2 separate regions of the Mus musculus genome follow, and region 1 is reported to be linked to region 2. The links are microRNA targets in miRTarBase. Many come from high-throughput screens and were not tested one by one. Region 2 holds a microRNA gene; the other region holds the end of a gene's coding sequence.

Region 1 (4,000 bases), not on the chromosome of region 2:
GGTACCAGGAAAGGAAAACAAGGAGCAAGAGACCCAGATTAGCAAAGGGGATCATAGCAAGGATGTCTCAGGGGCTAAAAGCCTCAAGCTTCTCTGGGCCTATGTGGCACACCTTGGGGTACGGCTGGCCCTTGAGGGAGCAGCTCTAGGTGTTCAGTACAATCTGTATGGTTTCAAGATGTCCAGCACTTTTATATGTCGTGAGGATCCTTGTATTGGCAGCACAACCTGTTTCCAGTCTCACCCCTCTGAGAAGACCATCTTCCTCAACATCATGTTTGGGATCAGCGGGGCCTGTTTCTTATTTATTTTCTTGGAGCTTGCGCTTTTGGGTTTAGGGAGGTTTTGGAGGATATACAAGCACAAACTTTCCTTCTTAAAGAAGTTGCCAACTTCAGAGAGCTCTGTAAGATCCAAGGACACAACCGATGAATTGTCAGTGGTGGAGGCAAAAGAGCCATTTTGAGATGCAGGTGAGGACCCTACTGCCAATCATCTATCCCTGCCTCTGATCTCTCTGTGTTAGCAGTCCCCACTTAGAGTAGGCCCCTCATCCTTTGGGGTGTACAGTTCCCATGTTACAAAGTTTCTAAGCAGAGGCATTCTACTTTTACTTTGGTGTGTGTGTGTTTGTGTGTGTGTGTGTGTGTGTGTGTGTGTGTGTGTGTGAGAGAGAGAGAGAGAGAGAGAGAGAGAGAGAGAGAATATTCAGGTGCCGGTGGAGGCCAGAGAAGGTGGTAGATCTTTTGGAGCTGGAATTACAGGTAGCTGTCCAATGTGGGAACTGGGAAGCAAACTTTGGTTTCTTTGCACTCTAACCACTGGGACATCTCTCCAGAACCCAGATGTATTTTTTAAGGGATGAAATGTTTACTTTGGTTCACAGTTTGAGGGTACAGTCTCTCTTGGTGGAGAAGGCATTCATATATGTATATGAAACAGCTAGCCCTGACTGGCGTGAAATTTGCTATAGTAGATCAGGCTGGCTTTGAACTCATGGAGAACCATCTGCCTCTGGCTCTCAAGTTCTAAGATTAAAAGCAAGAGCCACCATGCTCTCAGTCTCATGGCTGAGGCATGTATTTGATTACTACCCCCAAACCGTTTCCCAATACCTATCCCTATCAGTTGCATGACTCCTTGTGGTAGACCCCGATAAGCACACTGGTTTGTGTATTGCCTGCTCTTTCATTTGGTAAAATCCTCAGCTTCTGCTTAATTTCTACTTTTCAGAGTTGTAAAGTTGCCTGGATTGCCTGCAGAAAACTCTGGGACTTGATCTTCAATACATCCAGTGAGGTGGCCGGGGAGATGGTACAGGGGTAAAGGTGCTTGCAGTCAAGCCTCATGATCTGAGATTGATCTCCAGAACCCACACGGAGAAGGGAGAAAACCAACTCCCACAAGTTGCCCACATACATGTCATGAAGAGTACACACACACACACACACACACACACACACACACACAAAGAATAAATAAAATAATAAAATCTCAGAAAACAAAACAAGACCTCCTACATCAATTAGCTGCCACTTCTAATTTTTCTTTCCTGTCTCTCCACTAAATATAAACAAAAAACAGGCTACTTTCTGTTCTAATGGATTATCTATCCTATTCTGGGATTGTATAGAGATGGAATCATACAGTATGCTTATTAATCACTTGTATATCTTTGTAGAAAAGACCAAGTTTTTTGCCAATTAAATTAGGTTATTTATTTTTGCCTTGTATAAACTATATAATTGTTAGATACCTATCAAGTGGCTCATTTCAAAACATTCTCTTCTATTCCATGGGTCATCTTCATTTTCTTCCTGAGTAGCATTTCTTTAAAATTATTTATTCTTTGATAATTTCCTACATGTATACAGTGTGTTTTGATCACGTCTACCCTATATCCCTGTATCACTGCTCTTGGATCTCCTGACATGTCCCTATCCTAATTTCTTGTCCTCTTCTTTTCTTTATAACCCACTGAGAACAAAAATCAGTGCTACTCAAAGTGTGAATTGGTGTGAAGCTATCTACCCGAACACAGTCAACCTACTCGATGCCACACCCAAAGAAGATGGAGTCTTCCTCTGCCAGCATTGATCAACTGCCAACAGTTCCTCAGTTGTGGGTAGTCCTTCTCTCATTCATCCTGTAATGCTGAGTGTCTTGAGCTTGTGCAGGCAACCACTGCTTCTGTGAGTTTATGAATGCAAGTTCCTGCTGTGTTCATAAGATGTTGTTTCATAGCAGATCTCCCAGAGCACTGGATCTTTACATTTTTCTTTCCCATTTCTCCATCTTCTCTAATGTTCCCTTGAGCTTTGGGGGGCAAGGATGTGCTGTCGATGTCTCATTTGAGACTGAATATTACATGGACACCTGTTTCTGCATTTACAAATTGTAAGTCTGTATATTGGCCACTGTTCACTGTAAAAAGAAAAAGTCTGTGGTCAGTGTTGAAAACTGACCTAATCTATGAGTTTCGAGAATCATTTAGAAGACAGTTTGATACTATGTCAATTTAGCAAACTAATAGTGACTTTTCTGTAGGGCTTTTGAGCTCCGCAGGATGGGTTCTTGGCCAGATTTGTAGTACCAGGCATGGGGTTTCTCTTGTGGAGTGAATCCTCAATCGAATCAGAAAGCAGTTGGTTACTCCTGTACCAGCTACACCACTGTTTCACCCATGCATGTGTCTTGTGAGGCTGGTTGTTGGAACTCATCAGATTCATACATGAGAAAGAGTTTTGATGACTAGGAAGGCTACCCAGCATAGAGTTGGCAATATTTTTTGATGTACAAAACTTTACATTTTTTTCCCAATTCTTTTTTGAGACAGGGTTTCTCTGTGTAGCCCTGGCTGTCCTGGAACTCACTCTGTAGACCAGGCTGGCCTCGAACTCAGAAATCTGCCTGCCTCTACCTCCCGAGTGCTGGGATTAAAGGCGTGCGCCACCACGCCCAGCATTTTCCCCAATTTTTTATTAGGTATTTTCTTCATTTGCATTTCAAATGCTATCTAGAAAGTCCCCTATACCCTCCCCCCGCGCCCTGCTCCCCGCTCCCCTACCCACCCACTCCCATTTCTTGGCCCTGGCGTTCCCCTGTACTGGGGCATATAAAGTTTGCAAAACCAAGGGACCTCTCTTCCCAATGATGGCAGAGTAGGCCATCTTCTGCTACATATGCAGCTAGAGACAGGAGCTATGGCGGTACTGGTTAGTTCATATTGTTGTTCCACCTATAGGGTTGCAGATCCCTTCAGCTCCTTGGGTACTTTCTCTAGCTCCTCCATTGGGGACCCTGTGTTCCATCCAATAGATGACTGTGAGCGTCCACTTCTGTATTTGCCAGGCACTGGTAAAACCTCACAAGAGACAGCTATATCAGGGTCCTTTTAGCAAAATCTTGCTGGCATATGCAATGGTGTCTGTGTTTGGTGGCTGATTATGGGATGGATCCCTGGGTGGGGTAGTCTCTGGATGCATTTTACATTTTAATGAACTCTAATTACTTGTTTTTCTTTTGGCTTTTGTGAATTTGGTGCTACATTTAAGAGACCATTGTTTGACTCAAAACTATGAGTTTACACTTGTGTTTCCATCTAAGAATTTTATACTTTTAACTTATGTTTGACTCTGATCTCTTATGGAGTGGAAAAAAAAAGACAAAATGACATTATCTTTCTTATTGGAAACAATGTAAATGAGCAAAGTATTTGAATTGTAAGAAAGAAAAATTTACTGTTAATCTAGAGGCCCATGATTGGCAGAACTAACTCTCAGAAGTAAAGGCAAAGATAAGCATTTGTCTTGATGTGATGTATGTGCCTGCTCTTATTGTAGCTTGCATTACAGTGTTTGGTTGATGTCCCTGGGAGGACTGCTCTTTTCTCAGGGGATGTGGAGGGGGTAAGACTGGGGGGAGTGGGAAGATGCTGGGGAGAGATTGGGGGGAAGAGAGGAAGGTGAAACAGCAGTTGGGATGTAAAACATGAGAAAAG
Region 2 (4,152 bases):
ATATATGTGGAAATATTTTGTAAACTGTAAAGTGCTACATAAGTGTACCTGATTATTTCATTGAAAAAACATTGTCATGCTGATGTCTTATCCAGCAACGTTTAGCCTCCCAGGTGACAATTTTGTGTCAAAAATGTGCTCTAGGAACCGATGGTTAGCAGGTCTTTGGCTTTATCCAGGTGGTCCATGAGCTGGAAAAGATGGAGAATTCTCTCACTAAAGGGCCATATCACTTGACTCTATTGACAGCATGTCATGTGGAACTCAAAATTGCCTTCTTGAATGCAGATAGATTGCATCTATTAGTTGCTTCTTGCTGTCATGACCTGCCAGACGGGAAAATTAAATGTGCCTACAAATATTTCAGTATCTGTGCTGTGTGAAGGTTTAATATTCATTTGGAGCAGTGAGTTGAGAGAGGGAAAATAACCCACACCCTTTAGGTTGGGCTCAGAAATTGCTAAGTTCAACAGGGGTTCTTTGAGCATTCACCCAAAGCTAGCATGTGAAGAATGTGTTAAGCCTTCGAAAGAATGACATTCAGCTGTAATATTGACAACTCCACCATTATACATTCTTTAAGACGCTGCAAAGATTCAAACTCAGGTAGGAGTCTGTCTATTCCAATGGGACTTGAGGAAACTTGCCCTAAAATAGGTGGGCAGCAGAGCAGCGGAAGAACGTGTTCATGAGATGGGAAAGGTGGTAGGGGTATCTGTCTAACCTTAGCAGTCATCCTGTTAAGATGTGGACATACACTTACATTACATTGCATGTGGGACCAAAAGATAGACATCAATAGGCTGAAGTCATAAAAGCCATAGGTATCTAGTATCGGGCTAGGAATGTAGATCAGTGGCTAAACATTTACCTAATACATGTGAGACCCTAGGTTCAATCCTCAGCACCTCAGAAAACAAAATTAAAGATGAGAACAATAAAACAAAATGCATTGAGTAGTTACATGGGAAACCACACAGAAATGACTTTTAGAAGTTATGTTATACAAAGATGATTTCATATACATCTTGTTACCGCTATGAAAAGAAGTCTATTAAAGAAATGAATAGCCAATGAAAATGACTTGTAAAGTGGATGTTGTTATTATATGTCGATCATTTTAAGTGTCACAAATTTTCAATGTTTTTAGGATGCTGTCATTGTCAATTTTATATCAATGTACAAATATGATTTCAGAAGTTAGTTGGTGCCTTCGTTCCCCTAACCCTGTTTTTTTTCCATACTAAGGTCCTAAATTCCTCAAGCCTGACTTCTCCTGCCCCAGGGGTTAACAGAAACCTATCCCCCTTGGTTGCCGAGGGACAGCTGTGTTTGAAATGGGGACTGCCCTCAAGGAGCTTACAATCTAGCTGGGGGTAGATGACTTGCACTTGAACACAACTAGACTGTGAGCTTCTAGAGGGCAGGGGCCTTACCCTAGTCATCTCTCTGCTCACTCTGCACACCCTCCCTGTGGGACATCCTCCATCCCCATGGCGCCAACCACTGCCTGTTTGCTGAGAACTCTGTAGGCCTGAACTGTCTCCTGAGCACTGACTCCAGCTCTACAGTGTCTCCTGGCTCCATCCCTGGGTGGGATGCTCCATACCACTGCTGCAACCGAATCAGCAATGTGCAACTCAATGTCAATTACTTCTTGAGGCCAGCCCTGGCTCTTCAACTCCTGGGCTTGGTCTTCAAAGCAAAGGTCCAGAGTTATTGTTTTGGACTGAGCTCAATGTAAAGTGCTTGTGTTTAATGTTGATTAAATTGGAACATCTTTCTCATTGTATATAGACTGGCTAAATAGGTGGGTTGAAAATTAACAGAGAAATGCTCTTGGAATGTATCAGTTATTGTCTCTAGTGATAAAAAAATGGTTAATGCTTTAATTTTCTGATAATGTGCTTTCTCGATGTCCTGTGATGACTATGTGTGAATTTTATAACCAGCAAAACTAACTCATAAAAGTGGCTGAAAAGTGCTTCAGATAAGTGTCATCTTCTTTGGAAAGTGTCTTTTACTTCTTAATATCCCACATGGAGTCTGAAGCTCTGTTTTGGCCTTTCTCTGTTAGGGGAACTTGTGTTCTTTGTATAAATCTCTTCCCCCTAGAATGTGAGCTCCTAGAGAGCAGAAGAACCATTGACTTATTTGTTCATTTCCCAGTGCTTAGCACAAGGCCTACACAAGTAACACCTTAATGAGCGCTTAGTCTTTAAAGGAAGAGGGGCTGTAATATATGACTTCTATGAGTCACTTGCCTTTATTTCTGGATACTCCTTTGTTATGATTTTTAGTCTGCTAGTCACTGACTTTTAAATCAATATTTTAAATTGTTCTAATCTATATTAAAGACTTCATAAATGCCTATCAAACTCATTCAAAGTGAGGTCTGGCATGTTAGCAGCTCTTTTAAATCTATCTTGGGTAACGTGCCCCCTACCTGAAACCTCAGGCATAAAATTCAGGACTGCAGAGTCCAAACCTGAGTGCATTTCTTAAATTGAAAAGTGGCAAATGACAGTGGCTCATGGGAAGATATATGTCGGGGTAGATACAATAAGAGAAAAATGACAGTAACCAACTTTAATTCTGTGTTACTCTGTACCAGGCACTGTGCTACACAGCAGCATGCACCATCCTTGTCCCCTTTCCCTTATGATATAAATATGGTTATCATCTCCATTTTGCTCATGAGGAAAATGAGGCTTGAGGATGCACTTGATGGGGAGACTAGTATTTGAACTTTGGACCATTTTATTTCATCTTCAAAGTGCACTGTGATGTAAGTAGTCTTAACTTTTCCAGCTTACGATGGTGAAATCAAAGCCCAGGGAACAAGTAAGGTAGGCCAGCCCATGTATCTCTTTTGAAATGATGGAAGGAGTCGGGAAGAGGGATGCTTGGAGAGAGTAGCCCTGTTCTAATGTTTGTTAGATAATGTTTGTTAGATATGCTCTGCCCTGAATACACAAAGGTCTCCTCCCAGGTTCACAGTGCTCCCGAAGTTGGAAGGGATTTGTTCCATGGTTAGGCAGTGTTATTTAAAGGAGTCTTATGTGGTTTTTAAAAAATAGCTAAGGACACATCGCAAGGACTGGTGAGGACCCGTGCATGGTCTGTCTCCATGGTGGGAATTTAACCATTTAATATCAGCTAGCGTAGAGAATTGTGTTCTGGAGAGTGTGTGCACGCATGTTTGTCTTCTGGGTCTGTAGCCAACTAATTACAAAATCAGCCAACAAATATTTATTCAAGAAGTGACCTGATAGTTCTCTCATTTGCTGTCTGCTTAAGGAAGGGTTACTGCCTTGGGTAGAGTTTGGGCTAATGAGATAATAATAATTACCACTCATTGAGTGCAGGTTGCATGTCAGGAACTTTTCTGGGCACTTTCTTATACACAATTCCAATTAATCTTCACAACCTCAAGGAGGAAGGTTTTATCACCTACTCTTGACAGAGGAAGGAACTTACAGAGTTTGAATGGCTCCTTTAAAGTCTCAGTAATTCAATCCAAGCAAGTAGAGAGAGCCCGATTTGACTCCCATCTGTCTCCTCAGATCCTCTTTCCCTATCCATTCTGTTTGGTGTGCAGGGTGCCTGTGGCTTACGTTTATCACATTAGCAAACATCCTTGGTGGAACGGAGTCAGTATTTTTAAAATCTTGACAATTTTTTTTCCTAACTCTCCACCATGCTAACTCCACTTGACAGCAGCTAAGATTGATTTGATGGTTATATGCAAATCCTATAAGGGGAAATTAAAAAAAAAAGTTATAAAATTGCCCAAGTTTTTCTAGTCATTTAGCCGCTAGCTCTCCCTGACACAGACAAGAATGTGGTCCTTGGGAGGAGCCCAGTGATACCCCAGACACATGCCCTTAGCATATTTTACTTCCTAGCTTCTATAGAGGCCAACTGCTTGTACTCTCTAGTGACCCTTAGCATTCTCTGGGGTCACCAGGATGTCCTTCTTTGTTGTCCATGAGTGGCAGCAACTGTTGGTCAGGAAAGGAATTAACTTTGGACATCAAATACTGAAGATAATGGCTTAGCTCAGGAAAGTGTATAAAGGAGCCTAAGGTTGGCACATCTATACGGTTCCCCAGTAGCCATGTGGCATGGAGTCACCTGGATGGGTGAGGA

Evidence for each region. Region 2 holds the annotated microRNA mmu-miR-708-5p (AAGGAGCUUACAAUCUAGCUGGG, at 1,353-1,375, shown strand). A microRNA usually pairs through its seed, bases 2 to 8, with sites in the 3' UTR of a target mRNA and lowers its output. Matches are read on the target gene's strand: a 7mer-m8 pairs with bases 2 to 8, a 7mer-A1 pairs with bases 2 to 7 and ends in A, and an 8mer does both.
Region 1: the mRNA of Gjc3 is a reported target of mmu-miR-708-5p. Seed matches in the 3' UTR shown: 7mer-m8 at 3,261-3,267 and 7mer-m8 at 3,282-3,288.

Annotation. Positions count from the first base shown.
Region 1 is chr5:137,953,678-137,957,677 of GRCm38, reverse strand. Gjc3 (gap junction protein, gamma 3) reads left to right here. Exons shown (of 3, transcript NM_080450.5): 2 at 1-473; 3 at 1,234-3,805. The coding sequence ends at 466. Among named protein-coding and RNA genes, the nearest start is that of Gjc3, 7.4 kb to the left of the region's middle.
Region 2 is chr7:96,248,098-96,252,249 of GRCm38, forward strand. Mir708 (microRNA 708) reads left to right here and starts at 1,327; the gene lies at 1,327-1,435. The region is part of intron 1 of Tenm4 (teneurin transmembrane protein 4); the gene reads left to right.